2 linked regions of the Caenorhabditis elegans genome follow. The protein of the gene in region 2 interacts with the protein of the main gene of each other region in a pairwise test. Each region holds a gene or a part of one and is shown on either strand. Other genes may lie near its edges. The genes, in order: gpc-1 and gpb-2.

Evidence for each region.
Region 1: the proteins of gpb-2 (region 2) and gpc-1 interact in a two-hybrid assay, tested with the Caenorhabditis elegans proteins (one study listed by BioGRID).

What each region holds. Positions count from the first base shown.
Region 1 is NC_003284.9:12,880,632-12,884,221, forward strand, and holds gpc-1 (Guanine nucleotide-binding protein subunit gamma), read right to left. Parts: upstream 1,799-3,590; 5' UTR 1,781-1,798; coding exon 1,698-1,780; intron 1,065-1,697; coding exon 959-1,064; 3' UTR 540-958; downstream 1-539. UniProt on the Caenorhabditis elegans protein: Guanine nucleotide-binding proteins (G proteins) are involved as a modulator or transducer in various transmembrane signaling systems.
Region 2 is NC_003279.8:7,317,702-7,322,946, forward strand, and holds gpb-2 (Guanine nucleotide-binding protein subunit beta-2), read right to left. Parts: upstream 3,385-5,245; 5' UTR 3,248-3,384; coding exon 3,171-3,247; intron 3,124-3,170; coding exon 3,035-3,123; intron 2,487-3,034; coding exon 2,350-2,486; intron 2,255-2,349; coding exon 2,136-2,254; intron 1,904-2,135; coding exon 1,711-1,903; intron 1,668-1,710; coding exon 1,449-1,667; intron 1,157-1,448; coding exon 1,060-1,156; intron 958-1,059; coding exon 779-957; 3' UTR 589-778; downstream 1-588. Other genes in the region: F52A8.1 (DUF2650 domain-containing protein), read left to right, coding at 1-189, 259-348; F52A8.3 (uncharacterized protein), read right to left, coding at 4,629-4,894, 5,057-5,214. UniProt on the Caenorhabditis elegans protein: Guanine nucleotide-binding proteins (G proteins) are involved as a modulator or transducer in various transmembrane signaling systems.

The sequences.
Region 1 (3,590 bases), on a different chromosome or scaffold from region 2:
CAAAAACTGAGATTTTGTTTTCCATTTTCCATAATCATAAAAAATGTTAGAAAATCGTAGTGCCACATGCACGAGTTTCTAAAAAATAATTATTTTTAATATTTGCAATATTTGTCCAGAAGCTGTTTTTTTTTCAAAATTTTTGATGACGGTAAAATCAAAAGGAGTCTTTATATTTCATTTATCAAACTATTTTAAAAACATTCGTAAAAACTAGTCTACTCTGCCTAGTGTTTTCTAACAGACCTGGCAATTCTGAACAGTATGGATGAAAAAAGACTACCTTCGATTTTCCTGTCAATTAAAATTATGAAAAAATGAAATTTTTGGTTGCATTTTTCACATACAAACATTTTTATACGTTTTTTCCAAATAATGAACATTCTCACAATAATCTTGACCGTTTGTCTCGTGTAAATAGCCGTTTCTAAAAATCATGGGTTATTCATTTTTTTGATTTTTTATAACATTTTGATTTTTTACTTTTTTATATGATTCAAAAATTCATTTCCAAGTCCTTTCATAATAACGTCTGATGTTTTAAATTATTGTTTATAGATGCATAGGAAAGTAGAAAAAAAAATAATTAAGAAGTATATTTTTGCGGGAAAAAGCTTTAACTTCACAAAAGAGTGCGATTCTACTGAAAAATTTCAGAATGACAGTCTTTTGTGAAGCCAATGCTAAAAAAACCCAATTGGCTAGATCGAAGTGATCAGCGCAGATAGCTACAGAAGACAATTCCAAAAACAAGAAGATTGCAAGTTAGATTTGAGATCGGAAATTGAGATTTGGTGAACGTGTTGATTTTCTTGTGGACTGAGAGTTCAAAAACGTGTAGCTAAAACAATAGAGCAATAATGAATAGAGAAATGATGGACAGTAACGTGAATTGTGAAAAATCGGGACGTGTCTTGAAATGCCGGTAGATAATGAAATTTGAATGCGCGATATCAATTTAGAGTACTGAACAGCTTTTCTTCTCTTGGAATGGATTGTGCTGATCGGTTGGCCCGGAGACCAGCATGTCGTTGGTCTTGTTCTTCTCGCAAAAATCGAGCAGTCTGAAATTATAGTTTGATTGCATATAAGTAAATATTTCACTTTTGCTATTTGATATTCCACATTGTCATATATATTCTTGTAATTTTCGATGGTTACAAAAATTCGATTCGTTTTTAAATTATTCAAACATCTGAAACAATTTTGTCGTTCTGTCGGTTCTGTCGAAATGGTTGTGACGACATTATGTACTCTAAATATCACTAAAATTGTGAAGTATTTCAAAACTATACTTTTGTGTAACCTAATTTTAGTTATGCGTTGTTTTCGATTGCCTTGAAGATTTTTCGAGTAAGTTATTGATTTTCCAAAAAAAAAAAGAAAATCGTTGAAAGAATGCCTACCAATAAAATATCGACATTCATTATTTCTACAGTTTAGTGCTTGCCACAGTTAATGAACCTGGCCACAGTTTGATGAAAGAACTGGAGCAAATTATGCCATATTACGATGTTACGTATCACACTTTCTTTAGGATATAAAGTACACTTTTAGACAAAAAAAATACCAACAAGAAATGTGCAATTTTTACATTAATAATGAGAATTATCCAAATAACGTCTCGGAGTAGCAATACTAAAAATAGATACCTATTCTCATATGTAAATCACCTTTGCTCATAAAAAATAACTTACTCCTTTGAAACTTCGGAAACTTTTTTTCGTTGAATGTTGGCCTCAGCACAGAGTTGTTCGGTTGATGCCTTGATGTTTTCCATCTCAGATGGTTTCTGGAACTGAAAGAAACGCTAATAAATTTTCAAAATATGATAAAACAAATCTTCTTCTCAATAGCGAAAACTGGTGAAATGAGTAAGGTAGCTGGGAAGAAAAAAAGCGAGGAGACAAGTTTGGTGTCGACGCAAAATGAGTAGGTTTGGTGGGTGAAACTACCAATTTTACGATCGGAGCATTTGCTCTTTTGTCGAAATTAAAGGGTTTCGAGGCAGAAGAGCTCATGTGCTAAAACGGTGTTTATAATTAAAAGATTGAAGACTGAGCTATGTTTAATAAATAGATTGGAGAGGATTTTACATCTGGATTCTGAGACTCTTCACGACAAAAGAGAGGCGGTAAAAAGTGAAATCCAGTGTGAGAACTGACGACGGCCCTATGCGCTCTTCATCATAAAAAATATTGTTCGGGATTAAGTCGTCCTCCCTTTTTCGTTTCTCTTCCTTTTACTCTTAGTCAATCCACAATTCAGGGGATTCGGAGGGATTTTGGCGCCAGCGGATTTAACATTGATTTTATTATTGAACATTTTTGAATATTTTTGATATGCTACATTCAATATAATTTATACGTAAATATCAAATTGGCCAGAAAAATGTTAATTTTTAATAATTCATCAAAATAACCATACAAAATACGTTGCGGCTAAAATTCTTAAAAACTAATACTTCTACTAACTCATTTCTTTCTCAATCTAAAAATCACTCAGTTTGCAAAGCTCTGTTGATCAAAACAAGAACTGAATGAATCGAATCCAACTCTTTATAGTTGTTTTGATTGGATTTGTATTCAAAAATTTGTCAGTGACCATTTGAATATAGATTTGGTTTTTTGTCTCGATTCCTAGATTTGTTATTTGTAAAAAATCAGGAACAGGCAAGATGATTTGTATTAACTTTCTGACTTTGAAAATATTCAACACGAAATTGTATTTAGTTAATAGCTTACGATCACATTTAGTATTTCTTGAATTTTAATCAAAATTAAATTATTTTATATGCTATTTTAATAAAACGAAAATTGCGTTGGACAGCAGAAAATTATAACAAACTGAGAAGAATATGAAAATTACTGAAAATTATACAACTAGGTTCTCAAATAATGTGAAACCCCAATTTTCGTTTTTATTTGGACAGAACTAAACTTTTTATACGCTTTAAATGGATCTTATTGTATATATGTAAAAAGCTTTCATTGCTGATAACTCCCATAATTAAAACGTTAAGCATAAACCACATAAATCTCTTCACTATTCAAAACAAAATTTAACGCTTCGTGAGTCAGAAGTAAAATCCAAAGAAACGAGCTATACTAGAGTTACTGTCGAGTTTTCGTGATTTTAACAAAATCTTTACAAAAAAAAAAGAGTCCAGAAAACTCAACAAGTCAGCAGCTCGCTCTTTACTTTCACCTGTTTTATGTTTTCTTTTCATCATTTCATAACCAGATAGCATAACTCGTACCAATCAGCTTTCTTATCCAAACTTTTATTAGGTGTGGTTGCCCATAGTTACTAAATGAGCTATGCGTTTTATACTCTAATCATATTTTGACAAAGCTGCAAAGAAAGGTGATTAGGTTTTGTGGTAACTAATAGAAATATATAGTCAAACAAACTGGCAATATTAAAATTAAACTAATGAAAATTAAGTAGTATAATTATATATCGAACTGTCATTAAAGGTGAAGCAGCAGAACAAGGTAAAAATTTAAAAACCACTCTCATGGTGCCAAAATGGCTAAATATTATAGTAAAATTTTTAACAAATTTTTAAAAATTTTTTTATTGTTTCT
Region 2 (5,245 bases):
GCCCCATCAGTCAGTGCCGAAGGAGATGATCTTCTCGACTACGTCAAATCGATTGAGCCACTCACGATCAGAAGGAGTCCATTGGCATGCCCACTTCCAGTTGTCGGACAAGCTTGCCCAGAAGAGAACGTTTTCTGGTACTTCAAGTGCTGCGGACAGATTGCTGATCAGTGTTGCTTCCGTCTTCAGGTAATAATTCATTTTTCAAAAGATCTGCTGAAATTTAAATATGTTAATTTCTAAATTTGTTTCTTTCAGGATTGGGTTACTGTTCTTCTTCTCTTCCTTGCCGTCTGCACGATTCTCTCGATCATCATCAACTGCGTCAGATGCTTCTGCTGCGCATAAGTATTTGACTTATAATTTTCACATTTCTTCATCAAATCTTCGGGGCAACAGTTTTATCAAAATTTCCACTTTTCTCTTTATAACCAATTCACTGAATTTCTTCCTTTTAATATTCTCTGATAATTTGCCATACGTTGCTCATTGAATACTCTACTTTCCACACTTCTTTCTTTTTTGTTATGTAATTTTCCTTTCCTCACAGTTCACCCTTGCCTTTTTGAATTGTATTTTAACAGGTGTATTTAGTGAATTCTATTTACATCATTCAGCAATGAACGAGTACTTTACAGTATTTGTGACTAGAAAGTTGAGATAGGAGAAAATAGTGGGATGGTTAGATAATAGTACAGGGATAGAGACTGGTGGGAAGGGGGATGAGTAAAGTGACATAAAGCTCAAAAATTGTAAGAGAAAAATTAATATTAAATAATCAAGCCCAAATGCGAATTGTGCAATCCCAGCTCGCCGAGCAGACGGCTGTTCCATCAGGAGAAGTTCGGAGGCAACTAATACGATTCTCATGTCCATAAAGTACTGAATGACGGGCGCATTTCAGCGAATCCCATACACCGACACGATAATCACCATAACCAGCAAATAGAATACGACCTGTAATTTTTTAATAGTTAGAGTGAAAAGTTTAGTTCTGTGAATTTCAGAGATGCATTGAATTGATTTGGACTATACGTTTTTGTGAAGATTTAAACGTACCGCTCAAACTGAAATCGACTCCATTTACGGGGAACAAGATTGATTCTTTTTCATACACACATACTTGACGATCTGCTCGAAGATCGAATAAGCGACACTGGAAAAAGTAATATTTTCAGACAAAACAAGCAACTCTCGCGACTTTCTCCCAAACTATAATTTTCGAAAAATGGAAGAATAACCGTGAAATTTAATTAAGATTCTCTTGCACGGCCATGTGTCGATTTACGCAGCTCGTGTACTCCCCGAGGAGAAGTGGGCATATTGTCACTTCTTCTCGAGGAGTACACTAGCTGCGTAATTCGACACATGGTCGTGCAAGGCTTCCATAATTTCCCATCCCTTCTCCAATTTTCAATAATGAAGAAGTTTAAACACTTGTGACTTACAGTAGCATCATCAGATCCAGTTGCAAATGCATCACCATTTGGATGAAATCGAACAGTATTAATATCAGCTTCATGTCCTTCAAATGATTGTACACATTGTCCTGAACGAATATCCCATACAAGAGAATGTTTGTCAGCTCCTGCGGAAATAAATGTATTTCCAGTATCACATTTTGGAACATCGATTGCAAATACATCACCAGTATGACCATGGAAATTCTGAATTTTTGAATTGGGTTTCCGATTCGCGAGAATAAAAAACCTGAATAAGTTGTCCACTTTCAACATCCCAAATAGCACATGTTGAATCTCCACTTCCAGTTAAAATAAGATTATCCGAACGAAGGAATGTACAACATGACATATAAGAAGTATGAGTTGCTACTTGTCTTTTCTTTTGAATTATATCATCTTCAAAAGAAAGTGGAACGACACTGCATTTATTATCAAGTCCTCTGTAAAATTGGAATTTTTGAAAATTCAAAAAATAATAATAAAAATTTTTAATTAATAACATGAAAGCTTCAAAATTGGTAAAGTATACATGAGCCAATTTTTGAAAATTCCGTCTGTAAGAGCTCTTTTATAATTTGAAAAAAAAAACAATAAATTCTCATGAACACTATAAGTCCGTGTACTACCGTTTGTATTTTTTGAAAGCTTTGAAGTATTTGAAAGAAATCTTACCCGCAAGCGATCATTTGACTCGATGGAGAGAATGCACATGCCATAACCCAAGTTGTTGGCATCGTAAGAGCATGTTCCTTATTCGTAGTAAATCCATCCCATACAATCACTTTCCCGTCCTAAAATTTACTAATTTGAGCAAATTCATTTTAGAAATCGAGGTTTCAATTTTTGAAGACTACTGAATCTTTTGTAAGTCATATTTTAAACCAACCTGAGATGAAGAGACGATATGTCTTTTATCCAATGACCAATCCATGCATAATACTTTTCCCACGTGTCCTTTTAAAATTCGACGCTGTTTTACACCAAGAGCTCCCATAACGTCAAGTCGTTCGGCTGCTTGTTGAACTGAAAATTACTTAGGATGTAAAAAACTACTTAGTGCGTTTTGGGATTACTGTAGTTCTTGGTAATAGTAAATTAGGCATAACCTCAAAAAAGTCAAAGAGAAAACATTTAGAATTATGCAAATATCACAAAGCATATCTGGTATCTTTTTGTTCATCAAATTATTTAACTCAAATTTCTTTAAAGTTTTCAAAAACTTTTTTCAACTTTTTTCAGTCAAACAAGTTCTCAAAAAGTCCAACTTCACCTAGATTTGACAATTTACCAAAACTTAGACGTAATTTTTGGTGTGTATTGATATTTGGGCAATTATAATATTCGGTTATGAAGAACCGCATTGATATTTTTATTCAATATCCTCACTGATTGTGAGCTTTTAATTCAAAAGTTTATTTTTTCAATAAAAAAACAAAGAAAAAAGACTCCGGAGGATTTCTAACCTAGGAATTGTAAAGTTCAATTTTTTAGTAGTGTTCTTCTTCAAAGTCCCTCTTTTTAAATTGAAGTATTCTAATAAATTATCTTTTTAATTTTTTTCAAATACTTACTAGGAATGTCATTAAGCTTGTGCCTCTCTTGATCCAATTTCTTTCTAAGCTCTTCGGCTTCATTTGCCAATTGTTCTAAATATTCCGATCTGAAATAATGTAGTGTAACCCTTTGTAATGTAAAATGTACAAATACCCTTTTTCGGTTGTTGTTGGCTGAGAGTTTTCTGGCATTTTCGACGAGGAAGACGATTCTCCAGCAATGGTGCTCATTCAAATTGCGTTTCTTTTTGAGATCAGAAGACGAATTATGCAAAAAAAGGAAGAGAAGACTGAGGGTTGAAGAAAATGAATTTGAATAGAACAATTAGAGATGGGCGGTTTGTTTGAGGTTTAGAGGCACATTTTTCCTGAAACATTGCTATTAAAAAAATAAGTTTGAAGTAGCCAAATTCTTAAAGGACATGCCTAGAAATGTAAGAAATATATAGGAAGATCAAGATCATTTACATGATTTTGGATTTTAATTTTTTATTTGAAACAACAAATTAGACAACAGTTTGGCACAATTGAAACGAGCACAATGTAAAAAGAATTTGATTTTAAACCAAAAACATGTTGATAAGGTAATTCAAAATATCGTACTACCATTACTATTAATTTATATTTGCCTAAGGTTTTGCAATGATCGGAGTTTCACACATTTTATAAGTAACGTTTATAAAAAATAAAAGTAAAAGCCTTTTTTGCAAAGTTATTCTGTTGAACATGCTCAAAAATAGGATGGATGTGGCTACATTATCATTAAATTATCATAAATTTGATGGTATTGATTAAGACAAAACTATATTCGCCACGACAAAAAGCCGTCGAGGGCCCGAAATCATGGTGCAATGAATTCTATTTGCGTGCCTTACTCCGCTATGTCTCGCTTCTCCCTCTTCACTATTTTCTCTATTTCTTTTCTCGTTTTGCCGAGCGGTCCTTTTTGCAATGGAAAGAGAATGCAATGCGGTCGCGTCGCGGTTTCTGGGAAAAAGATGAAAAGAGACGGAAGAGATGTGGAAAAGAGAGTGGCTCGAAGAACGGGATGAGTTAAAATTAGGCAATGCACATGTCTTGATGGTTTTTGTGAAGTGAAATTAATTATAAAAAAGTGCTAGGTTAGCTTAAAAGTTGAGTAAAACCAGTTTAAAAAGTCCCACAATCGTTTTAGGTTTTTTGAAAAAATAAGTTATGGAAAATTGTCAAATTTTTGCAACTTTATCCTTCGCAGGGAATAGCATTGTGGAATGCTCTAAAACCTACAATATTATAATAAAAAAAGGCATAAGAAAAATAGGAAACTCGTATAAAACATATTTTTCTGTCTACTTGCAGAGTTATGATGTGTGAAAATGAGAATTTACCACTTTTCGACAGCGCATAAACATATTCAACTTTTTTCTGAAAAGCTTTACTATGATATTGATAATTAACAATGTTATCACTATAGAAGTGGTTTAAATAAATTCCCCACTAAAACCAGAAATCTAGACTAGCTGTAGCTGTAAGACACTTCTTGTACACCGGTAGTTTCAGTGCCAATAATTTTAAGACTCAAAATATTTATTCAAGCGTAATATACAAGCAGAAAAAGTGAAAGACAGAAAAATTAATATCGAGAAACATTGTAGGCATCAGGTCGGTGAGCAGTTGCCGGAGCCGTCGACGAGGTATAATAACGATCTTCAGCAGAGAACATGACCTGATCACCAGGAACCATGACACGAGATATTTCAGAATCTCTTGGTGATGAGTCCACGTGGATTTGACGTGGAGCTTGACGAGTGTGTTGAATATAATTAGCATTACCAGGAATATTATCATAATTGACAGGAATTGGAACAGGAGCAGATTGGGCAATGATAGGAGATGAGACTAAACTGAAATATTGGCTATTTTTACTGAATTTTTTAGTTTGTATGTGAAGCAGTTAGAAATGTCTCAAATCTATGAAATTCAAGAAATTTGATTGAACTGAAATGCAATTTTGTCTAGAATATATCCACTGGAAAAATTAAAATTGACAAGTTGAAATACCTTGTTGAGTATTCTTTCTTTGATTTTTTCCTCTGAGCCCAAACCATCCAGCGAACCAAATTCCAGCAATACACACACATGGTAAGCAACAACAAAAGAGCAATAGGCATATTCCAACAATTATACCAATAATCCTTCCGGCATACCAAAAATCGTCACTGCAACAAGAACCCCTACAGTGATACGTAC